4 linked regions of the Astyanax mexicanus genome follow. The protein of the gene in region 4 interacts with the protein of the main gene of each other region in a pairwise test. Links are inferred from orthologs where the notes say so. Each region holds a gene or a part of one and is shown on either strand. Other genes may lie near its edges. The genes, in order: memo1, lsm7, ckap5 and tacc1.

What was found.
Region 1: the proteins of tacc1 (region 4) and memo1 interact in binary tests that used the Homo sapiens proteins (3 or more experiments, as listed by UniProt). The two-hybrid records come from large-scale screens. The link is inferred for Astyanax mexicanus from reciprocal best matches to the Homo sapiens genes TACC1 and MEMO1.
Region 2: the proteins of tacc1 (region 4) and lsm7 interact in binary tests that used the Homo sapiens proteins (3 or more experiments, as listed by UniProt). The link is inferred for Astyanax mexicanus from reciprocal best matches to the Homo sapiens genes TACC1 and LSM7.
Region 3: the proteins of tacc1 (region 4) and ckap5 interact in binary tests that used the Homo sapiens proteins (3 or more experiments, as listed by UniProt). The link is inferred for Astyanax mexicanus from reciprocal best matches to the Homo sapiens genes TACC1 and CKAP5.

Annotation. Positions count from the first base shown.
Region 1 is NC_064432.1:14,305,216-14,312,894, forward strand, and holds the start of memo1 (protein MEMO1), read right to left. Parts: upstream 3,003-7,679; 5' UTR 2,738-3,002; coding exon 2,677-2,737; intron 1-2,676. UniProt on the Homo sapiens protein: May control cell migration by relaying extracellular chemotactic signals to the microtubule cytoskeleton. Mediator of ERBB2 signaling.
Region 2 is NC_064423.1:26,828,620-26,835,182, reverse strand, and holds lsm7 (U6 snRNA-associated Sm-like protein LSm7), read right to left. Parts: upstream 2,414-6,563; 5' UTR 2,295-2,413; coding exon 2,289-2,294; intron 1,450-2,288; coding exon 1,359-1,449; intron 1,271-1,358; coding exon 1,199-1,270; intron 932-1,198; coding exon 789-931; 3' UTR 520-788; downstream 1-519. Other genes in the region: sass6 (spindle assembly abnormal protein 6 homolog), read left to right, coding at 3,492-3,556, 3,863-3,923, 5,259-5,338, 5,791-5,895, 6,070-6,241. UniProt on the Homo sapiens protein: Plays a role in pre-mRNA splicing as component of the U4/U6-U5 tri-snRNP complex that is involved in spliceosome assembly, and as component of the precatalytic spliceosome (spliceosome B complex).
Region 3 is NC_064417.1:7,118,020-7,125,723, reverse strand, and holds the start of ckap5 (cytoskeleton-associated protein 5), read right to left. Parts: upstream 3,027-7,704; 5' UTR 2,892-3,026; intron 2,651-2,891; exon of another isoform or gene 2,383-2,650; intron 1-2,382. Other genes in the region: cstpp1 (centriolar satellite-associated tubulin polyglutamylase complex regulator 1), read left to right, coding at 7,099-7,147, 7,253-7,355. UniProt on the Homo sapiens protein: Binds to the plus end of microtubules and regulates microtubule dynamics and microtubule organization. Acts as a processive microtubule polymerase. Promotes cytoplasmic microtubule nucleation and elongation. Plays a major role in organizing spindle poles.
Region 4 is NC_064427.1:21,873,872-21,881,096, forward strand, and holds the start of tacc1 (transforming acidic coiled-coil-containing protein 1), read right to left. Parts: upstream 3,008-7,225; 5' UTR 2,515-3,007; coding exon 2,366-2,514; intron 1-2,365. UniProt on the Homo sapiens protein: Involved in transcription regulation induced by nuclear receptors, including in T3 thyroid hormone and all-trans retinoic acid pathways. Might promote the nuclear localization of the receptors.

The sequences.
Region 1 (7,679 bases), on a different chromosome or scaffold from region 4:
AGTCGATAATGCAATTATTGTGACCGGCCTGTAAATAGGGGTTTAAAAACTGCAGTGCTTACTACTGTAATAATAAACACTGTTAGCCTGGCTAGCTTTTATTTATTTTAGTATTTCTTTTATATATAATACTAGATCATTAATGTTTTCTGATATTATTTATTTTCTGACATGTTGATTACTACGGAGCCCCGGAGGGGCCGTGGATAAAAAAAATAATTAAATCGTGCTCACGATTTGCTATTCGTGCTCACGTTTTCTTTAAATCGTGCTCACGTTTTGCTATTCGTGCTCACGTTTTCTTTAAATCGTGCTCACGATTTGCTATTCGTGCTCACGTTTTCTCTAAATCGTGCTCACGTTTTGCTATTCGTGCTCACGTTTTATTTTAATTCGAGTGAACGATTTCTGTAATTCGTGCTCACGTTTTTATGCGCAATAAGACAAGAAGCTCGGAGGGAAAGGAGCATTTTCTCTCTTGATCTGTTACAGGGGTGCAGTAATGATAATCAGTTATCTACCTTTATAACCTGCTGTTATTAATGCACTAGTGTTACAGTTAGATGTACAGTACAGTGAGCAGATTTTGCCTGGTGGTGGAATCTCTACAGCGCGTGGGGGAGAGCCGTCCGCGGCATCGGTTCCCCCGCCGCCAGACACCTGCCGCGCGCGCAGGTCTTCACGGAGCTTATTTACCAACAATGTAGACAAATACAGTCAATTCCAGTCATGAATAAAGGAAACAAACATTTTACTGATGCAGGACAACTGTGTGTTATTAAAACCAGATCAAAACAAAGTTATAATGCAATGTGCAAATGTGTTTATTAATTTCTAAATAACATTCAGCCAGCCTCCAAGGAAATGCACACCTTCTTAAATCTGGTTACATCATTATTACTTTTATGATAGATTTAATCTATATTTTAATAATTTGTATAATAAATAAACACATAATTCAGAAAATATACATTTAAGAAGTTTATAATTATTATATTTTTTATTTGAAGCTTGTGGCATGTTTCTGGGCAGGACACTGTGATTTGAGAATAAGCAGATATTCAGGACATTTCATCAGATATAGAAACTTAATTATTTTAGGAAACATATTGGAATAAATTATCAAATTGATCCAAATTATTATATGAAATGCCTATTTACTAAATATCTTAATACATTGTATTAATAGTATTTTAGACCAGCTATTTTGATTTTATATAGTGTTACATATTTAAAGCAGCTCTTATATGAGCCATTCATAGACAACTGTCACACCTTGCATTAATTTTGTATTATCTTTATTAACTTTTACAGTGTACATTTGGACCTAAGTCTTATAGCTGTATATTTATATAATTATACTTCTTTACGTTACACTCTAAAAAACAGAGGTACGATATGAGTACTTTTTTGTACTCGAAGGTACACTCTTTATAATTGTACCCTCAAAGGTACAATATTGGTCTTTACAGGGTCAGATTTGTTCCCTCTGAAGTACAAAGTCATTTCTAACAGTAATAAGTACAAATTTGTACCATTTAACCAGCCAAAGGGTACATTCAGTATTCTGCATCACTGTACTAATGAACAATATATATTTAAATTGCACAGTTTTTATTTGAAAGCCAGACAATTTTGTATCATCAAGTTTTTGAGCCATATTTAGTTGATGATAATGTTTATAATCTTTATGATCTTTACTGCCACAAAAACCATGGGTACAAAAAAGGACTTTTACTGAAAGGTACTTTTTTGTGCCTCAATATAAGGTACAGCCCCAGCGACAAGCTTTGTACTCTTTTAAGTACAAATCTGTACTTATATTTCTTAGAGTGTATACTATTGTTGAAAATAAGAAATTATAAACAGTTCCACATTGCATTATAACTTTGTTTTGATCTGGTTTTAATAACACACAGTTATCCTGCATTAGTAATGTTTGTTTCCTTTAATCATGACTGGAATTGACTATATTTGTCTATATTGTTGGTAAATAAGCTCCGTGAAGACCTGCGCTCGCGGCCAGGGAACCCGTGCCGCGGACGGCTCTCCCCCACGCGCTGTAGAGATTCCACCACCAGGCAAAATCTGCTCACTGTACTGTACATCTAACTGTAACACTAGTGCATTAATATCAGCAGGTTATAAAGGTAGATAACTGATTATCATCACTGCACCCCTGTAACAGATCAAGAGAGAAAATGCTCCTTTCCCTCCCAGCTTATTGTCTTATTGCATAAAAACGTGAGCAGGAATTACAGAAATCGTTCACTCGAATTACAGAAATCGTGCGCACGAATTACAGAAATCGTGAGCACCAATTAAAGAAATCGTGAGCACGAATTGCAAATCGTTCACTCGAATTAAAGAAAACGTGAGCACGAACTGCTACATCGTTCACTCGATTTAATTATTTTTTTTATCCACGGCCCCTCCCGGGCTCCGTAGATTACAGCCTACAGGAAAATATTCTAATACTCTGCTCCTTGTTTTTTTTAATAGCCTAAAAATATAGATGTAACGCTGAGGAAGCACGTTTCGGCATGTTAGCACAAACCGACGCAACACCGGCCCGCTCGACGCCAGCAATAACAGGCCGAAGAGCCAGGCTAGCTCCCCGAAGCTCGGGCCGCGGGCACGCGTGGCCAGCCCCCCGCTCCCCGGCTGCGGCTGTACCTGAGGCGGTGTACCAGCTGCCGGCGTGGCTGGCTTCTCTGCACACCATTCGGTTCGACATCTTGGTGCCCGAGCCGCCTATCTTGGTCAGATGGAATTCTGATCGGTGGGGAAGAAACCCAATCAATTAATCAACCAATCAATCAATAGCGGCGGGGAGCGGAGTGTTAGAGCCGGGGCGGATCTGCTGCTCTACATATGTTCAAACCAAACCCCTGAAATCACGCGATCATCGCAGGACTCCGCACAGACCGTCCCTATCCGCCTCTGAAGAAGAACAAAGCTCGGAGCGGCGCGCGAGCCTGTACTCGGACGGGTCGGTGTGTCTCAATTCGGCTTCCGTCCTGCCGTTCCACACAGCCAGCAATTCTGATTGGTCGGTTTCAGTTAAAGGGAAACACACCCAGAGACTGTTTGTTTTTTATTTTTATTTTTTTTTTTAATTCACATTAATACACAAATATATGGTCTACACTACCAGTCAAAAGTTTTAGAACACCCATAAGTGTTAAAAGATTAGCAGTATAGCAGTGAACTACCACAAGTTTTAAGTAAAAAAAATAAAATAAATAATAATAGTAATAAAATATAAAAAATATTGTAAAAACTAACAAAAAGAAACTTTAAACAAATTATATATTGTTAAAAAAACGAAAAATTTGTATATTGTAAATAAAGGCCTGACAATTAACTTAACATTTACAGTTTATTGAATATAAAAGGCTATATATATTTTTTATTTTTAATATATATATATATATATATATATATATATATTTAATATCAGTGTAAATGTAAATGCATTTTGTTATTTTGTTACAACATACAATTGTTTTTTATAACATACATTTATTGTTAACTATAGGTAAATTAAAAACAAAACATGTTTTTGTTTTTATTTTTAATATATATATATATATATATATATATATATTATATTAGTTAAAATAAAAAATGTATATTGTAAAAAATATATATGTTGTAACATAAATTACATTTACATTTACACTGAATATAGAAAATATATACTGTAAAAATAAAACAAAAAAATGTATTAGTTGGTTAACAGCTTACAACTGGTATAAGCTGTTATATACCATTGGTATAAATGTAATTTATATGTATACATTTATATACATTTATATTTATTTGTACCATATATGTGTATATATATATATATATGTATATATATATATATATATATATATATACGTATATATATATATATATATATATATATATATATACGTATATATATATATATAATCATGCAAAAGAAGATTTTAATTAGTTAATTAATTTTAATTAGTTGTTGATATGGTTTATCAAGTGGTTGCTAAGTTGCTGACAATTCATTGCTAGATAGCTGCTATTATATCCCAGGTGGTTAATAAGGTGTTGTGGGTGAGCAGGCTTTCCATAAACCAGCTCTTTCTTTATTTTGTATTACCCTCCAGTTGACATTAATACATACAAATATATGATATAAAGCACGAGTCAAAAGTTGGGACACACCTTCTCATTCAATGTTTTTCTTTATTATATGTATTTTCTACTCTGTAGTTTAAAATTAAAGGAATGAAAACAGTTAAGAGACACATACCGAATTACATAATAAACAGTTAAAAATGTGTTAGTCATCGACAATACTCTAAATCCCGAGAGAATAATCTCGAGATAATTAATGTGAGGGGAAAATTCAGGTAATTACGCACTGTGGCCTGTAGATGGAACTAATACCATGTTTATTGTCTTCTAAAAACTCCAGGGTTGTGTAATGTTGCTGCTGGAAGTTGATACGTATGATTTTCACTACTCTAATAGAAATTCAGTGCTTTAAAAAGTGCATCTAAAAAAGAACATGATTAAAAAGTTACTTTATTTCAGTAATTCAGTTCAAAAAGTGAAACACATATATTATATAGATGTATTAAACACAGAGTGATCTATTTTAAGTGTTTATTTAATTTATTGTTGATGATTAGCAGGGTTGACTACCCTGCTTGTCCCGCCTCTCCACCTATGCTATAGTAGTGGTGATTGGATCTCTTTTTAACTGGTCCCTACCTTCCACAAAACTAAATCCGTTCTGATTGGATGTTGTCTCTGACAAACATTTTGCATGAGCATTTGCCTCCTGTCTCTCCTGCTGTACCTCCTGTAGTCTCTGCTCCTTCTCCTTTAGTCTCTCCTGCTCTACCTCCGTCTCTGCTCCTCCATCTCCTTTAGTCTCTCCTGCTCTACGTCCTCTAGTCTCTGCTCCTCCATTTCCTCCTGTCTCTCCTGCTCTACCTCCTCTAGTCTCTGCTCCTCCATCTCCTTTAGTCTCTCCTGCTCTACCTCCTCCAGCCTCTCCTCCTCTACCTCCTGTAGTCTCTCTTCCTCCATCTCCTTTAGTCTCTCCTGCTCTACCTCCTTTAGTCTCTCTCTCCTACAGAGATGTGACAAGATATCTAAAAGATCATTTGATAAATGTATTGTAACTGGCTTTCTTGTATGTAAACTCAGTCACTGATTCTTGTTTGTGTTATATTAATGGAATTATATATTCTCTTGTATAAGTAAAGTATTATTATGTACAGGGCTCTAAAGTAATAAATGTAATCAATCTGATCACGAACAGCCCACTTTAAATCACAGATGTTCAATAATATTCAGGTCTGGGGACTGAGATGATCATTCCAGAACTTTGTACTTGTTCCTCTGCCTAGTGTATTTTGGGACGTATTCAGGGGCGTTGTCTTGATGAAGTATTCAGCCCTGGCACAACTTCAGCTTTCTTACCGATTCCTGACATTGTTCTCGATGCTCGTGGAAACAAGTCCTCATTTAGAGAGCAACTTCAGCCAGAACACTTCCTGAAAAATACTGTGTTGTGCCAGGAGTTATGAAGTCAAGGGAGAGATGGAGTGCCACCAACCTGCTTGAGGATTTGTGTCAGACAGTGGCAGAACACAAATATCGCTGGGGCAGTATGTACAGTTGCAAGAAAAAGTATGTGGACCCTTTGGGATTACTCGGATTTCTGCATAAATTGGTCAATAAATGTTTTCTGATCTTCATCTAAGTCACAACAATTGACAAACAGTCTGCATAAACTAATACCACACAAAAAACTATATGTTTGCATGGTTTTATTGAACACATGTTAACATTCACAGTGAGGGGGGGGGAGTATGTGAATCTTTGAATTTAATAACTGGTTGATCCTCCTTTGGCACCAAAAACCTCAACCAAACGTTTCCTGTAGTTACAGATCAGACCTGCAGAACGGTCAGAAGGAATTTTGGAGCATTCCTCTTTACTGAACTGTTTCAGTTCAGCTATAATATTCTTGGGATATCTGGTGAGAATCGCTCTATTGAGGTCTTGATGCCACAGCATCTCAATTGGGTTGAGGAGGTCAGGACTCTCCAGAAGGCGTATTTTCTTCTGTCGTTGTTCTGTTGCATCATCCATCCTCAGTTGAGCTTCAGTTGGGGGACAGATGATCTTAGGTTTTCCTGCAAAATGTCTTGGTAAACTTGAAAATTATTTTTTCCACTGATGACGGCAATCTGTCCAGACCCTGAGGCAGCAAAGCAGCCCCAAACCATGATGCCCCTCCACCATGTTTCACAGTTGCGATGAGGTTTTGATGATGGTGTGCTGTGCCTTTTTTCTCCACACATAGCACTGTGTTTTCCTTCCAAACAACTCAATTTTGGTTTCATCTGTCCACAGTATATTTAGCCAGTACTGCTTTGGAACATTCAGGTGCTCTTTTGCAAACTTCAAATGTGCAGCAATGTTTTTTTTTGGACAGCAGTGGCTTCCTCTGTGATGTCCTCCCATGAACTCCATTCTTGTTTAATGTTTTCCTTATTGTAGATTTGTCAACAAAAATGTTAGCATGTGGCAGAGGTTTCTGTAAGTCCTCAGCTGACACTCTATGATTCTTCCACACCTCACTGATCATTCTGCGCTGTGCTCTTGCAGTCATCTTTACAGGACTTTACCACGCCTAGGGAGAGTAGCAACAATGCTGAACTTTCTCCATTTGTAGACAGTCTCTCTTACCATGGACACATGAACATCAAGGCTTTTAGAGATACTTTTGTAACCCTTTCCAGCTTCATGCAAGTCAATAATTATTAAACGTAGGTCTTCTGAGAGCTCTTTTGAGCTAGGCATGATTCACATCAAGCAATGTTTCTTAAGAACAGCAAACTCAAACATGGTGTGTGTTTTTTATAGGGCCAATTAGCTCTTAGAAAAGGCATTAGTCTAGGGGTTCACATACTTTTCCCCTCTCACTGTGAATGTTAACATGTTGTGTCTCTCCTGCTCTACCTCCGTCTCTGCTCCTCCATCTCCTTTAGTCTCTCCTGCTCTACCTCCTCTAGTCTATGCTCCTCCATTTCCTCCTGTCTCTCCTGCTCTACCTCCTCTAGTCTCTGCTCCTCCATCTCCTCCTGTCTCTGCTGCTCTACCTACTCCAGCCTCTCCTGCTCTACCTCCTCTAGTCTCTGCTCCTCCATCTCCTCTAGCCTCTCCTCCTCTACCTCCTGTAGTCTCTCCTCCTCCATCTCCTTTAGTCTCTCCTGTTCTACCTCCTCCTGTCTCTCCTGCTCTACCTCCGTCTCTGCTCCTCCATCTCATTTAGTCTCTCCTGCTCTACCTCCTCTAGTCTCTGCTCCTCCATCTCCTTTTGTCTCTCCTGCTCTACCTCCTCCTGTCTTTCCTGCTCTACCGCCGTCTCTGCTCCTCCATCTCCTTTAGTCTCTCCTGCTCTACCTCCGTCTCTGCTCCTCCATCTCCTTTAGTCTCTCCTGCTCTACCTCCTCCAGCCTCTCCTCCTCTACCTCCTGTAGTCTCTGCTCCTCCATCTCCTCCTGTATCTCCTGCTCTACCTCCTCCAGTCTCTCCTCCTCTACCTCCTGTAGTCTCTCCTCCTCCATCTCCTTTAGTCTCTCCTGCTCTACCTCCTCCTTTAGTCTCTCCTTTCCACCCATTCTTAAAAA
Region 2 (6,563 bases), on a different chromosome or scaffold from region 4:
AACAAAACCAACACAGGCAGCTGCAATATGTCACATTACCATTTCTGGAGGATATCTGTATCCACAGATGCTAATGGGCAGGTGCTCAAGCAACTGATATACATGTTCTAAACTAGTGGGAATTTCTTTTGGGAAACGCATACGGTCCACAATATTAGACTTTACATTACAGATGCAGTATAGGCTGAAAAAACTCAAATGTTTTTAATTTGTTATAAACTATTGCTCTTAATATAAATAGGAATGTAAACTAAACAAGTACAAATGATGCTAATTGAGTTCATTTCACATCATTTTGTGTTGCTAGTAGATCCTCATTTAGTTTTTATTATTTTTTATTCTCTTTAATCCGAAAATTAAGTGGCCTTTATATTTAGTAAAAAAATAACTGCTCGATAAATTGTTTAAAGATTAAAAAAAAAAAAAACATTAAAAGAGAAATGGCTAACTCCAAACATTTTATGAATGTCCAATTTTAATAATAAAACAATTACTAAAAAACATAACAGACATAAAGAGTGAACATAACTCAACACAGTTTAATCAATCATTCAGATCCGTATTTAGAAACAAGACAAAACTAAAATAGCTGACAGAAGCCAAAACAAAACCAGCGGTGTAAATGTAGTATGTTACATCTCTGAATGACTAAATGACGTCCGGATCCATGATACTGGGTGTAACTGAAATATGAAACTCATTTTCCTTAACCAAACACCTTTTTAGAAAACAGTCACATAATCCCAAAGCGTACAGTGTGTGAGACTGTGTTCAGGGTTGAGTGTGTATTAGCCATCCTGCTGCTGTATGAAGGGGTTGGGAATAGCCTCCATGCCGTCCTGCGGGCAGATCAGCACGACTGCTGTCCCCCGACAGACCACCAGGCCGAGCTGTCTGGTGTCTTCCGTCAGCTTGTACTGGTCATCAGGATCTGAGTAATGGAGTGACAGATTTTAGATAACTATTATACTTAAGTATTAATAAAACTTAATAGTTGTATTAGTTGTACAATTTTTTGGCATAAACATTCTCAGACAGAACAATTCTCAGTCTTTTTACACTGCTGCTAACACAATGTTAGTGACAAACTCTGTTGTCTATCCTTAAATAACCTACCTGACTGTGTAAGGAAACGACATGCGAGATGCATAGGCATTCAGAGAGAAATACAAGACGTTAATGGCTTTCTGATACTTACCACGCATGTATTCAATTGTGCCATCCAACACCAAGTTTAACAGAGGATCAAACCCCTTTAGGACACCACTGGCTGTGTGGAAAAAAAAAAAAAACAATGCTTAAAAAAAGGGCACAAGAATAAGTGTTACGCTCATTACACTAGAAATAATGTTCCTTACCCTCACGACCACCCTGGAATTTTACTCTGATTGGTTTGTCAATGTATTTTGACAAGTCGAATATGCTCTCCTTCTTTTTCTTCTCTTTATCCTGTAAATGAACCACAACAAAACTTAATAAGTAGTGAGAGAATAACTGGAACGGCACAAAGTAGGCGATTAAATGTTTTTTCATAGACTCCTAATAAGAACATTTATAATCTTTTTTCTAAATAAAACTGAACTACAAATCGTTGCATGACATCTATAAAAAGGGGGGGGGGGGGCTTAAGTACACTTCAGTTTCTGAATCAGTTTCTCTGATTTTGCTATTTATAGGTATATGCTTAAGTTAAATTAACATTGTTGTTTTATTCTATAAACTACTGACATTTGTTCCGAATTCCAGAAAAAAGTTGTATTACTTTTTACAATTATTTTTTTGTTAATATTAATTGATCGATTGTGTCAGTTTATGAAACATTTTCTTGCTGTTAGAGGCTGAAATAGCTTTTTATTTAGTCCATTCCACCTTAAACTGTTCATCAGTTACATTCGATGCCGCCATTTAAGGTGGAATGGTCTATACCAAAAGAACTAGATATATTATAAAAAGACAACTTTAACCTCGCTAACATTTTTATAGTGAATATATATTCTGAGAACTTGGGTCAGGCCGACTAGCTAGATAACCCTACACTAGTTAACCTATTTAGGTTATGTCTGGAACTCCTCAGCTAACCTAGTTAGCCTCCTGCTAGTTAGGACTGGAACTAACTTCGCTTCATTATCAGCCTATATATAACCAGCTTTTGTTCATACTGCAGTAAGAAAACCGCTGGCGTTTTGATAACTGCTCGCTGCGAGGTTTCTTTATCATATTTCCAGAACAGAAACTCCATAGAATAATGAGCAGAATATTCCTCCAGCAGCAGCAGCATTCATACTCACCGCCATCTTCACTCTCCTCTGCGCCTCCTCGCTGATCCTCCCTTTGACCCCGGCTCCTCCACCAATCACAGGCGGCGTCCTTCAGTCTTCACTACACATATACAGACTTTACATAACATTAAAAACAACATTTTAATCTGAGATAAATAACCACCAATAACAGAGAGCTACGGTCCTGAAAACAAGGCAAAATCAAGGAGAAAATTAAGAGAAATTAAGAGAGAGAATTAAGAGAAGAGTCCCCGGGGGCGTCCCAATTGTCACATTTATGGGTTATATACACTAGTACACTAAATGTAATTTTGTTGTTGTTTTCGTAGATGATATTACCATGCACAAGTGGGCAAGCCAAAATCATATAATATACAATAATTGTTTGCCTTTCCCAAGCAAAATACACCAATAAGGGTAGAAGTAGATTTACACGTGACTGGCTATTATTAGCATTGCACCAAATATTATTCAGATATTATATAAATATTTATGGTAAGGAGCCAAGTGTACTCCACAATGCTAAACTGCTAGTTTACTAAGAAGTATTAATGGACTAATACAAGCAAACATAGCTAGCACCTGATACTATACATTTATAAAACCCTATCACAATCTCATATACAAAGAGTCCACAATTAGGTTACATATTACAATATTTATTGATCAATTCAGATGTTTTTTTTTTTATTCAGATCAGATTTGGCTGTCTTCAAAAAATATCCATCTACACATTAACAGTAAATCTGAGTTAAAAATCAGTTTGAAGAGGTCAGATTGACATATCCACACAGCCCTAAAATAGATCTCGCAAATAGATGTCACATTAAAAACTGCACTGAAACCACTTTCACCTGTGAAACCAACTAATCTTAAAAGTCTACTTAAAGTCCGGTAAATATGGTAACTCTGGTTATAATCTTGTATTTTAATGGAAAAAAGATATATATCATCCATTAAGCTAATATTATAGAATCTAACGTGGGCGCCTACACCTAATACTGTAACTGTAGCGCGCATATTAGCACTAGCTATCCGCCCTAGTAAGGTCACAAGTGCGCGTATTGGAACGCACCCTTGCTCATTATTTCCGACTACAGCGGGAGGCGAAGCGCCAAACTCGAAATTCGGTGCTCGCTTGCAAATCTGGGGTCAGAATTAAAGCTGAAACGGACGAATTTCGGTGATTAATTGTCGGATTATGAACTAGACATGACGGAATTACTCTTTAACAAGACTTTACAGGTCCAAGTGAAGTGTAAAGATTGCGACGACAGGTAACAGATGTCCACTTTTCTTGATGCTATGCTAATCGTAGCCTAACATAGCTAGCCGGCGGTAGCTAGGTTGGCATGCTAACAAACAAGCTAAAATAATACACCAAATAAAACTGCAGTACTGAGTTAAAATGATCAGCATTATACTGTTAAACAGATGGACCTAAGCTACATTAGAGTTATTCATTTTACATGGTAGCTAATATCAATATATTATTGTGAATGTACTGCTGTGTTGCTGTAGTGTTCTCCTGTTTTCTGAAGTGGGTGTTTTATTGTTGACTCTTTAACTGACTTTTTTTTCAGGCGGTCGTTTATTCGTGTCAGTACTGAACTGCACCTTACTTCAAACCCCATCCACAAAAAGGTGAGAGATTAAAACGTACCTTCCATTTATTCTTCAATTAGCTAGTTTAGTTTGGTAGGTACTTAGATGGGTTGGCAATGAGGCATTGATTGGTGCACTGTGATGTACAATACTGTAGCTACAGACTACAATGTGTTTCTGTGTTTGCTTATTCCTTTATGTTATATTAAGTTGTGTTCAAAATGTAGTAATCTGTGTTTTCTATAATGAAACTTAATTGGGTTCCAGGTAAAAATCTAAAATGATAAGGATACTCTTGGCGATATGACAAAACACCTGAATAAAAAAAAATATTAAAGAATACACTACTGCAACAAAATTAAATACAATACAGTACATACAACACATACAGTATGATATGGCACACCCCTAACTGAGATATTAAAATATACAAGAATTTTATCAGATTTGTCAATGATGCAGAATGTCATGATACGAATACTGCTCTCTATATTTCCAGGATTAAAGTAAAATGAATGATACCGGTAGATATATAATGGGGAAATGGGAACAGTGTGAATTTTTCTTTTGATAAATTTGACAATTACGGGTGGGTTATGTGGCACGATATTTCAGGGTATAAAATTGTTCATGATATTCAAAAATGATGGCGATATTATTGCGTACGGCACACCCCTAGCCCAGATGGTAAAAAACAGAGCTGTATGTTAGTTTACACAGACTGAGAAAGTCATTAGAAAAAGTTTCTAAAAACAGTAGCAAATAGATACAGAATATATAGCAAGAACAGGTAACACGACAAAATGTTGGTTAATAGCTAAATCATTACAGCATGTTATCATTTATTTATATATTTACAATCTATAAGAATAATTATGATGATGAATAAAATCTGAAAAAATCAGATCAAAAAATATTTATTATGCATCTTTTACAACTAAAGTCTCAAAGCAGCTTTACAGAAATGTGGTAGCATTTTGAGGTGAATAGCCACTATCCAGAATTCTAGTTAGAGTTCATATATATTTTGATGTGCTTGGTAGTGGACAGTGAGTAACGAGTCCAGGTGGCATAATCTGGAGGAAGGTGGCATAAACTGGGCTGTGGGCAGCTGATCTTTGGTGGGTGACATGAAAACCTGACTTCCATAAACTTCCATCAGTCTGGCTGAACAGGTGACAGGAGAACCTGAGGGTAGAGCATCCATCAGTATCAGTCAATAACTCCTTCAATAATAAGGAAGGCAGAAAGATTATTTCAGACATCAGGGTGGTCCTACTTTAGTTTTTAAGGAATATCTTTAAGTAAACGTATATATTATCCAATGTTTTATAAACTACAGTACTGAAGCTGAAATGTTGTTTTGTTTTCTAGGATCTAGTGGTGAGGTTGACTGACGATGCTGATCTCTACTTTCTGTATAACCTTGTAATATCAGAGGAGGATTTCCAAAGGTATGATATTGTGTCTTTGGCAAGGTTGTTTGATTTTTGATGTTACAGTTTTATGAATACTTTTGTATATTCACATACACCAGCCTGTGTCAGGGTAAATGATTCCCCACTTAGTTCTGATACTTCAGTGGGATTTTATGAGAGACATAAGTGGAGATGTAATTATATATAAAGTATTTTTTAAGCAATGTACAGTAGATTTCTATCTACTGTATCTTAATCTTACAATTAATTGGATGTAATAAAACTGTATTGTCAATAGAATAATACACTTGAGTTGACTTCACTCGAGTATATTGACACTGGTGTACAGGTCCTTGACCCTCTGCTTTTAACATCTACAGTACACCAGTTAAATTTTTTTGTTAAATTTCACATTTTGTTGACTTCCTTAAACATGATCTCCTAAAATGTTAATGACTGCTGTTTTTGATTCTTCACTCTCCCCACAGTTTAAAAGTCCAGCAGGGTCTGCTTATAGACTTCACTTCATTTCCTCAGAAGTTTATAGACCTATTAGACCAGTGTATCTCCGAGCAGGACAGAGAGAACCCAAGGTACAGATGTCCGATGTTCCTGTCTCTCTGTCTTTCATAATATGAGGAATAAGTAAAACTGTGCCAAAATAACAAAATAACTGACACAATAAACATTTTTTATGAAACAATGGTAGAAAAGAGTGTAAAACTCACTATCTGTATGCTCATTCTCATACTCATTTTTAATTTCAGGTTTCTGCTACAGCTTTCCTCCACCTCCTCTGCATTGAACCACAGCCCTGCAAATCTTAATATAGTGGAGACCAATGCGTTCAAGCACCTCACCCATCTGTCTCTAAAACTGCTGCCTGGCTCGGACGTCGAAGTAAAGAAATACTTGGCCACTTGTTTAGCCACAGTGAAGGTCAGAAAATCATAAGTTCTCACAATATTGTCTTCATTTATGTGTGTTCTGAATGTATAAAGAATCTATCATTGCATTGAACAATGCATAGGTGAGTTCTCCCAACCTTACCATGTTCATAGATTGATAAATAAAAGTGAATTGGGCAGCCTAGGTACACAATTTACATGCATTTAAATGACTTTATAATGTTTCTTTTGTAATTTTTAAGGGCTGCCTTTTTACTCTAAAGACAAATCTAAAATAAAATAATCTAAAATAATTATATTATTTGAATAAGTTGTTGAACAGTTGCTGAGCTGCAGGGCCTGGACATACTGTA
Region 3 (7,704 bases), on a different chromosome or scaffold from region 4:
ACTATGAAAAGAAGCTGTATAAAGAACAAAACAGTCCAACAGAAATATTAATTTTTCAGGAACCTTTGTAAGTTTGTAAGTCTAGCATGAAAAAGTACCACACAGGAACTGAGAGATTCACTGTTTTTGTTAAATAGCACATTTAACCTTACCTGATACGCTGATTATTTAGAAAATATCATGATGATGTACAGTACCAGTCAAAAGAAGACATTAAAGCTATACAGGAACACATGTGGAAATATTTTGTAAACAAAGTATTAAAGCAGAACATACGTTTTATACTTTAGATTGTTCTAAGTAGCCACATTTATCTTTGAGGACAGATCTGCACACTCTTGATATTTTAATCTCAGTGTCTTCATGAGGGAGAGTCACCTGGGATAGTTCTCTCAGCTTCTTGAAGGAGTTTCTGGAGGTGCGGAACAATAGTTGCATCTTTTCCAGCTCATCTCAGTTGGGTTTAGGTCAGGTACATATTTAAATAAGTCACTTAATTAATTAAACATTTTATGTATTTAATATTAATCTACAATGTAAAAATAAGATCATAAAAAATACACTGATTGAGAAATGATCTCTCCAAACCTTTGACTGGTACTGTATTTGCTCAGTATCACCCAAATATTGACATCATAAAATATTATCAGGTGTATTGCTTTAAATTAATTGTTTTATATAATGAGGAATGTTGGATGGCATATAAACAAACTGACCTTTTGTCCAGAACAATGTATGACAGCCAACAGATATGACCATAATTGCACATAAGCAGTATAACAAATAAGATATAGATATATGCATACGTTGCTTTCATAGGACACTTTTCCAACAAAAAGCCTCTTTAGCCATGTTAATCGTGTTGTAACATAAAATTCGATACTTGTACCTACTTGGAAACTATAGGATAGCATATATCATAAGTCCAGTTTCACAGAGAGGACAGTGGGTTATTTTAAACGTACCTAAATCCTCTACTTATACTGCAGGTGTTATATTTGACTAGTTTTAAACGCAACATATGCACAGGTAGATTAAATGTACAGAAAGGTAACCTATGTAGTTTAGCTTGCTAGCTAACTAAATATGTATGCATTATAACGCTAGCTTCTAAATAAGCTTACGTTAGCTAGGTTATAAAGCGATATGGCTCTAAAATAATATCATGATATTTCAGGGTATTTTTGCGATAACAATATACTTGGCGATATAGAAAAACTAAAATAATTAATTCATTTCAGGAATATAGTATAATAGTATAACTGAATAATCATAATGTGGCAGAATAAATAATATAGCATAAAATAATATAATGCAGCAAATAATATTGCAGAATATTTAGTGCATGCATATAAACTGCAAACTAAAACAACTATACAATAAATACACCTAAAGCTTCACAGTAAATAATAGACAAATTTTAAGACAGAACAGTCCTATTATCATGATATGTTTTTTTTTTATATCATGATATTTCTGTGTCACGATATATTGTATACAATATAATATTGCCCAGCCCTACTAGCTAGTAAGTTATTCAGAGTACTTACTCTAAAAAACGAATTAACGTTAGACAGAGAAAAGCAGAAAATTTACTACTTCGCTTAATGTGCATTTTATTTGTTTTCATATCTTAATATTAATATACAGAAAATGTAGAAAATTGACTGGTACTGTAACTATATGCTCAGTATCACCCATCTGAAAAATAACGTTATTGACTTCATAACAGATTCAGGTGTACAGCTAGCTGGGTAACCTATATTTGTTTTATATCACAAGAATGAGCCAGGCATATAGGTTAGGTTAGCTAGTTAGGTTAGCCAGCTAGCTAGTTAGCATGTAAACAAACTGACCTCCGTTAGACCAATGTGTGACAGCCAAAACATACAGAATATGAACTACTGACCCAGCCTGTCTGCACACAAGCAGCGTACCAAATAAAAGATACACGCAGACGTTAAGCTTAAGCTTTTTAAACAAAATTCCCCCATACTTGTGACTTAGATAGCGAGCTTAGTTAGGTTAGGCTACTGGCACAATACCTGACAACATATAAAGTCCTGTTTTAAAGGGATGATTGAAGACTATTTTAACTCTACTTAAAAACACACTGCAGATGTTATCTATATATTATTACTAGCTTTAAATTAAGGCAGTCATAGCTTTAAACGCAACATATGCACACATAGATGAAAAGTACAGACAGTTGTGTAGCTAACTTAGTTAGCTCTGTCCGTTATTTGACGTTAGATATTACACGTAGCTAGCTTAGCTAGCTATCTAGCAAACCTAGCGAGCTAACTATGTAACGTTATGCATTAAAGCTCCTATACAAGCTTAACCAGGTTATAAACTTAATTAGTTATTCAGAGTACTCACCAAATTAATCAGAGAAAAGCAGGAAATGTACTTGGTTAGCATGTTAGCTAGACAGCCAGCTAGTTAAATATGTTTTAAAACGTCTGACTGATGAAACATAGCTCCTCACAGGCCAGTGTAAATACGCAGTGTACGAGGCTAGCTTAGCTTAGCCTCCACATAGCAACCACAGCGGAGGCAAAACGGACATTTCAGGTCTAACTCCAAACACTACGATTTAAAAAAATGAATTAAAACGGATTATTTCACACAAGAGACCGCATTACAGTCCGTGACGTGGAAACTACATGCGACACATACACACTAGCTATTGTTAGACTGAAAGAATCGCAACACACACTCATATCTACATGTACACACACACACACACACAACAGGCCCTGGAAACACACCCAGCGGAACAGCGCGGACACACGCCGCCGCCCTGCGATGCTTTCCGCCCAGATAACACGGACACACCTATGCTGTTTTCAGATCGGCTGCAGAGAGATGAGGGAGCACTGGGTTACCTGCAGTAGGCTGGGGAAGGCAGGGCGCTGTGCTGGAGCTACCAGAGCCGCTGTGCTCATTCTCTTCTCCGGCCTTTTGAAACGCCTCCAAGGGCGGAGAATGGGAGGGAGGAGCCGCAGACAGCGCGCAGGCGCCGGCGGGAGCAGGCCGGAGACACAACCCTGACCCCTGGGGCTCTGAACTTCATGCTTTTAGTAGATCAATCTTATTTGTTTTATTTACTCAGCACTTTAACATTATATTTTTCATACTACATATTTCCTTAATTGTAAATTGTAATTCTACAGGTGCTGGTCAACGAATTAGAATAATTTGAAATAGTGCAATCATGAAATTCTTTGAATGCATTTTTTGTGCAGGAAGCAAATCAGGTGTTCACCGCACCTGTCCTACTCGTTAGACTAATCACAGAACTCGTTACCTGGAAAAAAATTTGCTCAGCTGAGCTTTCCAAAAGGCCCATTTAGGCCATTTAACTGTGACACTGTTGTTTTATTGAATTAGAATAATGGAGAAACCGTTTCATTGAATTAGAATAAATGCTCGAATTTTTGTTTTCTGTGAAGAGTGTTCACTGTGCAGTATAAAGTCAGGGTTGAGTAGAATTTCTAAGTTGTAAAATCAATCATGGGTAAGCAGCGCGACCTCTCAACCGGAATAGTGGCTCAAATTCAAGCCCTTCGCCAACAAGGCTTGACCCAAACTAAAATTGCTGAGCAGCTCGGCATCAGCCAGTCTTCCGTCTGCAAAGCTCTCAAGAAAAACTGCAGCAAGCGCACCAACTGTTCCGGCGTCCGAAAAACTTCTGCTCGCGACAACAAGCAGCTGAGAAAGATCGCAGTCAGCAACCGGTTCAAGTCCACTTCCGAGCTCACCGACTTGTGGAACAAGCAGACCGGCGCTGACGTCTCCAGATCAACCACTTACCGTCGTCTGCGCGAACTCGGCTTCAAATCTCGCGTTCCAGCAGTAAAACCGATGCTGAACAAGAAACAAATGGAGAAACGGCTGAAGTGGGCCAAAGAACACGGCGAGTGGACTGCTGAAGACTGGCAGAAAGTGGTCTTCAGTGACGAATCACGCTTCTGCATCTCCTTCGGTGACCAAGGTCCTCGTGTCTGGCGTCGTGGTGGCGAAACCTACAACCACGAGTGCGTGAAAAGATCCGTCAAGTTTCCCCAGAGCGTTATGGTCTGGGGATGCATGTCCGCTCGAGGTGTAGGGAAACTCTGCTTCCTCAAGAAGACTGTCAATGCTGCCGTATATCAAGATGTTCTGGAAACGTTCCTAATTCCAACTGTTGAGGAACAGTTTGGCGAAGAAGACTTCATATTTCAACAGGATCTTGCACCGGCTCATGCGGCAAAGTCGACCAAAGATTGGTTCACTAAAAAACAGCTTGAAGTTTTGGCATGGCCGGCCAACTCGCCTGACCTCAATGTCATTGAAAACCTTTGGGCCATCGTCAAGCGGAAAATTCGCGACAGAAAGCCTACTACGCTGGACCAACTGAAGCAGAACATCGCCACTGCCTGGGAAGCTGTGAGTGCGGAAACGTGCGACAAGCCGGTCAAATCGATGCCGCGGAGACTTCAGGCAGTCATACAAGCCAAGGGGGCAGCCACAAAATACTGAGAAAGTGATGATTGTAATTATAATAAAAATTATTCTAATTCAATGAAACAGTTTCTCCATTATTCTAATTCAATAAAACAACAGTGTCACAGTTAAATGGCCTAAATGGGCCTTTTGGAAAGCTCAGCTGAGCAAATTTTTTTCCAGGTAACGAGTTCTGTGATTAGTCTAACGAGTAGGACAGGTGCGGTGAACACCTGATTTGCTTTCTGCACAAAAAATGCATTCAAAGAATTTCATGATTGCACTATTTCAAATTATTCTAATTCGTTGACCAGCACCTGTATATGTTTCTCTTCATGATTTCGATGACTTTAGTATTAATGTACAATGCAGAAATTTTAAAATACAAAAAACCCACTGAATTGTTATTATAGTAATTATAATAATTATATCGATTATAGTGATATAATACTCTCTCTCTTTCTCTCTCTCTCTGTCTGTGTAGATTCAAGATTTAAGCTGATGCATACTCAGAATTATCTTAAAATTATTCTATTCTGTTACTTGAAGATGGTATATAAAATTGGCATTTTGTCCCTGCAGTTTTCCTAGCTCTGGTCCTGTACATTATAAATTATCCAAATAATTGTTTAAATAATGCTGACAAGTAGTCTACCTCCTGTTTTTTATGTACTTTTTTGTAAATTTGACTAATTGAATGTTATAAATGTACTATAACTATACATTTTATATTTTATGTAGTCCTTGTCTTCTATCAGCACTGATATTTTATTCTCATGAAATACTACTAAACTTCATTAAATAATAAACGTGTGAAAAAAAACCATTAAACAATTTCTAACTTAGACATAGGGAAACTAAATTGTGCAGCATTTATTCTTTTTAACGTGTGCATCTACACATTTTGCTTAATTTTGTTTCATTATTCACATTCATTTAAGTAGAAAAAACAGTTAAATTGCGTATAATATTTTTCTAAGATGAATGAACCAATCATTCTATAAAATAAATATGTGATAACCTCAGAATTTTCATATGCAGTCTTTAGGCTTCAGCTTTAACTACAGATTATGAAATGCTATTAAAGCTCATTCCCTGAATTCACCACTAGATCGCGCTGCCGGACTCATGACTCTGCCTCTGCAGTCACGAACTCTCTTTCCCACCCGTTTTCTACCAAGCCCCGCCCTGCACTGGGATTGGCTAGTAGGCAGAATGTGAAATATATCCATAGTTATCGGTCTATATTTTAAAATAACTAGAACAAAAACATATATTAATAAACTACAATAGACCTTTTGTGTAAATTTTCTTGGCCACGTTGCTAGGCTGAAATGTCAATACCTTCGATTTTTTTGAGACGACTGAAATAGAGTATAACGTGGCCTGTTTTGCAGTTTCTTGCATGTACTAAAGATGTATTAGTATATTTGGACTATAGTTCATAATTCGAGTTTTTAAACACCTTCTACCTTCTGTGTATTATTTTATATTACTTTTCTTTTAAATTAATTAACAAATAATCCTTTTTAATAAGTAGTAATAGAATATTAATTGGATTTAGATTTTCTTTTTGTTTGCCTTACGTTAAATTTTCCTATTTGTTTAAACTTTGGAGCTCTTTCCTTTATGTATGCTATGCACATACAGTTTTTATGATATTATACTTTAAAGGGAAATTATTTCTCATCATATTAATAAAGACGTAAAGACGTACTATGTGTTGACTCTTCAGTAATGATAAAGATGAAATGACAAAAAATACAAATTACAAAAAAGTTTTTATTTGTTTTTTTTTTTTTAGACAAACACACCTCCTACAATTGTACACCTTTACATGTCAAAGTTGCCAGAGTGAATTTTAGTATAAAGGCTTCTGCTTTTGTCAGAAACCTGCAAATAACTCTTTTATGTGACAGTGATTTATATTTTTACACTTTTCCTTAACTGAAATACAAGGAGGTCATGTTTACAGCGGGTTTAATATAAAAGCTGTATGTAAAGTTGAAATTATGTTAATGAAAACAATAGCGTGTGCATCACTTTAAATTGTGCTCTCTGTTTACAGAAAGTTGTGATGTTGTAATGTCAGAATTGATTATATATTTGAAAAATATTGTGGTATTTTTTTCTTTATACACTTTATAGTGGATACATCTTTTTTATTGCTAAGACAATTAAGAGACTCGATAAATATATTAAATTCAACAAGAAAAACTGATGAAACTGAAGATGTGCAGATAATATTTCCCAAAAAGGATCAGATTCTAAGTGAAGCTGACAGAAGAGATATTACAGTTAAAACCCAAAATAACATCATTATATTTATATTTACCCTGTAATCCACTTTATTGGAAAATATCTAGAACGATCTTTTAAAATTCTGAATAACAACATTAATAAATAAATATTCTAGTTTTTTCTAGTCTTTTTGGAGCAAAATAAACAGTTTTAATTTGTACATTCAATTATAAAATAGTTTTATTTTTATTTTAACAGCTGAAAGCTGTGTGAACCACTAGCCAATCCCTGTAGTGCAGGGCGGGGCCTGCCGGAATACAGGTGGGAAGAAGCTGCACGCTGCAGTATGGCTGTATCCAGGAGACGATGAAAATGAACACAGAGCGGTTTACCCTCACAACAGACGACTATTTAGGTATGTTATGTCTTTTTTATTATTACACTAAACGCAGAATCGCAGTATTTAACTGCAGGCGCGGTTTTAAAGCAGTAATCCGTGTATTAACGCTGTGTGTTTCAGCCGAGACTAATGCCCTGTTCTATCTGAGTGATGCGGTCACGCAGCTGCTGGAGCACAGAGAGGAGTACATTCAGTTCGGCATCGTGCGCTATTTTGCAGAATAGTGAGTCTACCTGTACAAATAACAGCATTTATTTATTTATTCTGCATTGTAGATTAATACTAAGGTCTTTAAACTTATAAAGAAAAACATATGCAATTATTTAGTAACCAAAAAAGTGTTAATCAAACCAGAATATGTTTTTATATTTTAGATTCTAAAGTAGCACCTCTTGCTTAGATGGCAGATTTGAACATGTTGGCTGGATTTTCTCAGTCAGCTTTATGAGGTAGAGTCACCTGAAATTCAGGCTTTCAGTTAACAGCTGTGCTGAACTCGTCAAGAGTTAATTAAGCTACCTGAATTTTCTGCCTCTTAATAAAGTGTTTGAGAGCATCAGTTGTAAAGTAGT
Region 4 (7,225 bases):
ACACTAGCCTTCCCACAGGATGACTGGTCTAAGCTGTGTTTGTTTCTGAGCAGCTCTGACTCACTTCCAGCAGAGAGAGAGACACAGTGTGTGTGTGTGTTTTTGCTTTTCTAATTGTGTCTCTCAGTTCCCTCCCGTTTAAAGAAGTGCTACTAGATCTATTGTCTGTGTGTGTGTGTGTGTGTGTGTGTGTGTGTTTCTTTTCACACACAAGGGAAGAAAGCAGCTCTCCTAAAAGGAATGTTCACACACACCACAAAGACAGGATGTCAACAAAACACACACACACTGTGTGTGAGGCGACAGTTAAAGCAGAGTAAACAGCCAAACTGCAGCTGCAACGTCACACATACATACAGACACAACACTGAGAAGATAGAGAAAGTGAGAGACGGAGAGAGGAAGATAGAGAGAGAGATATTCAAAATATAAGGAGAAAAGGAAAGAAAGAAAAAGATAAAGAAAGGCACAATATAAAGAAAGAGAAAAAAAGACAGAAAGAGAGAGGCCTAAATATTTAGCCTATAGCCTTTTAGCCCCACCCATTTAGCCTATAGCAGTTTATAGCTCCACCCACTCAGCCTATAGCAGTTTATAGCTCCACCCATTCAGCCTACAGCAGTTTATAGCTCCACCCATTCAGCCTATAGCAGTTAATAGCTCCACCTATTCAGCCTACAGCAGTTTATAGCTCCACCCATTCAGCCTACAGCAGTTTATAGCTCCACCCATTCAGCCTACAGCAGCATTAGTTAAGTTTTTTGCAGATTTAGAACAATACAAGGCATCCAATTGAAACAAAGCACATTTACATATACCGATGTTAATGATACAGTAATAGAAACAGCTGCTGTGAGTAAAACTCAGGGGGATATAATACACATAAATCTAAAAATACCCATGCACTCATCACACACACACACACACACACACACACATTTACACACACACAAATTCATGCACTAACACGTGACTTCTGCCAACCGTTACCAGGGCACCCACAGACATCTGTAGGAACACACACACACACACTCTGTGCGCCAAAGCATACATATAAATATCCCTACACAAACACACACACACACACAGCTCGTCTTCAGTTACATAACTATTATTCACACACGTTTATTATTAATAACATCATCCTTCTATACACCCATCTATCTATCTTCCATCTATATATCAATCCATTCTTCCTTCCTTCTTTCATTCCTTCCACCCAGCCATCTTTCTATCAATTTATCCTTTTTTCCTTCCTTTTTTCAAAACATTTATCCATGTGTCCAGCAGTAATCCATCCAATTATCCATCTATACATCTATCCACTCACCCATTTATCCATCAATTCATTCATCCACCCATCCATATATCCTTCCATTCATCCATCCATCTGGACCAAAACATCATGTTTGTAAACATACAGCACGTAGTTTAACTAAAACCCAGTAGTTTGTAGTTAAACACTGTCAATTGTTAAATTGTTAAATCCTGTTGTTTTATTCCCATCCAGTAAATAGATCTGAGCAAAAGTCTGTAGTTAATTATCATGTTTGTAGTTTGTGAGTAAATGGCATTGTTTTCGGTTAAACCCTGAAGTTTGTAGTTCAAGGCTGTAGTTATTGGTTAGACCATGTAATTTTAAATCCTGTAGTTTAACATAAATTATGTAGTTCCAGTTAGGTCTTGTAGACTCAGATTAGACCCTGTAGTTTTTAGCTAGATTCTGTAGTTTCTGGATAGATCCTGTAGTTTTTAGTTAGATACTGTAGTTTCTGGAAAGACCCTGTAGTTTTAACTGAGATGCTGTAGTTTCTGGAAAGACCCTGTAGTTTTTAGTAAGATGCTGTAGTTTTTAGTTAGATGATGTAGTTTCTGGATAGACCCTGTAGTTTTTAGTTAGATGATGTCGTTTCTGGATAGACCCTGTAGTTTTTTGTTAGATACTGTAGTTTCTGGATAGACCCTGTAGTTTTTTGTTAGATACTGTAGTTTCTGGATAGACCCTGTCTTTTTTTGTTAGATTATGTAGTTTCTGGATAGACCCTGTAGTTTTTAGTTAAATACTATAGTTTCTGGATAGACCCTGTAGTTTTAACTGAGATGCTGTAGTTTCTGGAAAGACCCTGCATTTTTTAGTAAGATGCTGTAGTTTTTTTGTTAGATACTGTAGTTTCTGCATAGACCCTGTAGTTTTTTAGTGAGATGCTGTAGTTTCTGGAAAGACCCTGAAGTTTTTGTTTGAATTCTGTAGTTTGTGGTTCAATTCTGTATGTTTTTAGTAAAATCCAGTAGTTTACAGATACACCTTGTAGTTTTTGTTAAACCCTGTAGTTGTTGTTGTTTGTCTGTAGTTTGCTGGTCTTGCCTGTAGCTCTGGGATTTCTCCTCTTCCTCGTCTCCCTCTTGCGGACAATCCTCCTCTTCCTCGCGCATCTCTCCATCCTCTTCCTCACCCGCTCCCCTAACAGCCGACCACGTCCACTTAGCCCACTGAACGGGCGACAGCCACGACATCGCCGCTCAATAACACACTCACACACACACTGCTCCAATTCAGCTCAGCACACACACACACTCCTCTGCTGTGTGGATAAAAACAGTCCAGTCTGATCCACCCAGTCTGAGACACCGACTCTCTCTCGCTCTCTTTCCCACAGTGCCACAGTGTCTCTTGACCCTCCTCCAGATGTTTTCAGCAGCTGGCAGCTCCTCAGGTCCTCAGGCTGGGGCTCATGGCGCGCGCTCACAGCCTCTTCCTCCTTCACCTCGTGCAGCAACTTCTCAACTGGAGCTGCTTCCTCAATCTACTGCAGCGAGCGAGGGAGGCTTCCTCTCTCTCTCTCTCTCTCTCTCTCTCTCTCTCCCCCTCCTCCTCTCCCTGAGTTTCTCTCTCTCTTTTTCTGGCTCAAACTGAACTCTCTCTCTCTCTCTCTCTGTGAGTTAGTCTCTCTCTCTCTATCTCTCTTTCTTTCTGGCTCAGACTGAACTCTCTCTCTCTGAGTTGGTCTCTCTCTCTCTCTCTCTCTTTCTAGCTCTGAATGCCTCAGCAGTGATCAGCTGGTCGCCCCCTCCTCCCCCTAAGAGGCAGGACTATTTTGAAGGGGGGTTTTAGGAGGAAAGAGGGGAAGTTCTGCACTTTAAGAGAAAAGGCTGGATTTAGACTTTAGGGTTAAACATCCCTCCACCCACACTCAGTCAGAATGGTAGATTCCATCAGACAGCATGTGCTCTTTCTCTCTCTCTCGCTGTCTCTGGCTCGCTCTGTTTGTTTACCTCTCTTCTGCTTTTCTAATGAGAGAGAGTACTACTTAAAAAAAGATAAGAAAGAGTCCGAGCTAACAGAGAACGATATAAGAACGTTTATCAACGTTTTGAAAAGGTTTCAGAAAGATTAGCCTGTTACGTTACAGAAGTAATGCTCAGAAATGTTGTGAAAATGCGTGAAATAATAATGGTTTATATTATTAGAATGTTTATCACTTAACTTTCTCAGCTAGATGAATACTACCATTATGGAAATGTTAAAGTAACATTCCCAATACACTAACAAAAATTACACAAGTTAAATACAAACATTCTAAGTAAGTTCAGAAAAAAAGAGAAAAATGTAACATTTGTGTAGGAAAAGAGATATTAGCAATAATACTGAGCTACTTATAGTGAGAGAGCACTAGTAAGAGAGTTATTAGCAACAAGTGTGTGGAAAAAATATATATGCACAATAAGTGAGAGTACTAGTTAAAGAGAGAGTACTAATGAGAGTGAGATATTAGCAACAATTAAGAGGAAGAGGAAGAGTGAAAACAAGAGTAAGAGACACTACTAGTGGAAGAGAGAGACAGTACTAGTGAAAGAGAGGTACTTGCAAGAAGTGAGAGTTCTAGTTAAAAGAGAGTACTAGTGAGAGACAGATATTAGCGAGAAGTGAGATTGAGAGAGACAATACTAGTGAAAGAAAGAGAGAGATAACTAGTGAGAGAAAAAGATAAAGAGATATTAGCTATAAGAGAGAATTGGAGAGACAGTACTAGTGAAAGAAAAATAGAGAGAGTGAGAGATATTAGCAATAGGTGTAGTTAAAAGAGTGTACTATTGAGAGAGATAAATTTTCAAAAAGTAAGAGACAGACCTAGTGAGAGAGAGACAGAAAAAAGGGAGACGCAATAAGCAGAGAGAAAGAAAGAGAGGAAGTTAGAGAGACACACTGTGTGTGTATAATGTGTGTGCATGGTAACAGTGGAGCGGCTGTGGAATGCAGCCCGATTTAACCGTCTCACTGCCCTCAGCACCAGCAAGGCCTGCACCATATTACACACACACACACACACACACACACCTGAAAAACCTGTCCTAACACTTTCGCTCCCACACACCTGTTCAGCACGCCCTGGCGCCCTGCCTGAGAAACATCCTCCTCCCTACTCCCAAACCTCCCTCACACACACACAATATACACACTCTCACACAACACACTATTCACACACACACACACACATACAATATACACACAACACACTATTCACACACACACACACACACAAACAGCCACACACACAGGCAGGTGCTACAGTCCAGCAATAGTGGATCATTAGCATTGAGATGCTAGTTAGCACAACATGCTAAAAACAGCTCCTCAATGTTGCAGAGAGACGAATCAGACAGCTGAAGATTCCATGAGCTGAACGATTCACTGTTCTGAGTCATTCTCTTTTTCTGACTTATTTCATAAACACTTACTCCTAGCTAGTTAGCCTAGCCTAGCATTTGATGTATTTCCATTAAAAAGATAAAAACATCATTAAGGTTACTGGTTTGATCCATGGTGATGCCACAACCATCCGAAACCAAACACCCCCAACAACATAACTTTAATCTGAGTTTAAAACACTTACTAATCCAAAGTGGGCGGGGCCATGAATACTAAATCACGGGTTGAGTAGACACAATGCTTTTTCTGATCAACTGATCTTTTCTGAATATTTTCTTTTACTAGCTACTGCACACAACAAAAGTTAAGGAAGAGTTTCATGTGCAGCATCATATACAATTTAGAGAGACCAACTGTATTTCACAAAGAACAAGAAAAAGTGGATTTTAGTAGAAGGACACCTTTAAAGCCAGAGGAGTTTAAGGTGCAGCAATAGACTAGGAGTTTCATAACACTATTACCATCTGGCCCAGTTCTTACTAACCCGCTGGTGTGGAGGATGTATTAGAGCTGCTATTCTTTGTGGATTCTCTAAAGTGCCCCAGCAAAGCAGACCACATTCTCCACTCCATAAACACTCTAAAAATAAAGTGTGTGTGTGTGTGTGCATATGTGTGTGTGTGTGTTGCTATGCTATCCACCACAAACAATACCATCACACGCTAAAGGGCAGCAGGAGAACATCTGAGCAGCTTCAGCAACGTTTATTATCTGCTCTACTGCTCTGTTTCACTTATTTCTGACCGCTTCACAACTTTGATCTTCATGATAGTCTGAATCATCACTTTATTAAATAAGTCTTTTTTTGTTTTAAAGGAATACTGAAACTAAAAAAACACTGAAAAGTAATAAATCTTTACTGCTTACTATTAAATGCTTCTATACCATCTGTATCTGTTTAAATGCCATTATTTTTACATGAAAACTTTAATAAGTCTGTTTCTCAGACTTTAAAGGAGAAGTTCTGTGAAAAATAATTGTGGATTCTAATTAATATCTACATTAGACTGTCGAAAATGTACAAATGTTGCCCTTGTAAAGACGCCCTCATGATCTTCATTTAATTGCTTTTACAATTTATTAAAAAAGCTGTATAAACATGCTGGGTTGTTTAAACACAAAGTCTTACTGAAATAATTATTACGTTAGTTATATTAAATAATATGTATTTATTTACATTATTGTTGTTATAGTTTTTGTAGACAGGTGTAGTGTTACACAAACTGAGATTCTTAATATTATTAGTATTCTGATTATTCATATTATTCATATATATAACATATTATTGTTGTTGTTCTGTGTATCTGTATATTTAAAAGGTGCTGGGTTATTTTAACCATTATTACTATATTATTACTAATATTTGCTTTGTGTGACAGGTGATACAGGAGTTACATTTACAGACATTCTTGATAGTGTTATTAGTCCGATTATGATTCTTGTAGCTGTTAACATTAATAATAATAATAATAATAATAATAACAATAATAATAACAAGTAGAAGAAGAAGAATATTAGAAAAAAATTATAAGAATAAGAATATATATATTTCAATTATGAAATCTAATTTATAATTATAAATGATATTTTTATTGTCGTCAGATGCTGGGTTATATAAACAGAGATTGCTGTAATGTGATTGTTCCTGTAGCTGCAGAAAGAGACAGAATCAGAACATCAGAACATTTCTGCTCAGACGGGTTAGGAACACAGAGGAGGTCTGCAGGAGCCTTGATTCGCTTATGTAACTAAACTCAGATCAGTTCCACGTCAGAGCTCAGCCGGGCCTCGGGCCAGAACTGCTCATAGAGACCGTTAACCCAGGGAAAACCAGAGGAGCAGGAAAATGAGAAAAACAGTCCAATCAGAACCATTATACAACAAATTTAGCTCATTATCATCATCCCACACTGCATTTATAAACACAAACATAGCATTTTTCTTAAAGGGACAGTTTGCCTAATTTTTTTTGCCCTAAGGCTAATGTGGCTAACAAACTAATGGAACCTTATGTACACTTACTAATGTACGATTAGAATGCCGAAAAAAACTCTATGACTAAATCATTTACATCAACCTCTCTTCGACCCTTTCAGTTCAGTTACACTCACTGTTTCTTTTATTGTACCTTTATCACTCAGATATGGAAATCACCTCTACTCCTTTCCTGTACTGCAGCTTAGACTGGAAAACCAGTAAGAACTGAAAAATAGGTGAGGCTTAAGTGCTGCTCACATACATGCTGGATTGGTGGTAAATCTGGGGGGAAGCTGCGGCAAAATTTGGCAAACGTATTAAAAGTTTCCGGATTGATTGCTTGGGTTAACGTGTTGATGTTGACAGAACTAATAAATACATATGAATATAGATTTTTTTCCCACACTGTAAGCGCATACATTGTTTAACCTCAAATGATTTAAGTCTGTTTTACATCAAATTGGATATTTCTAAACAATACTCAAATATTTTGAGTTAGTTAAACATTTGTGGGCACATATATACATTCAAACAGAGATC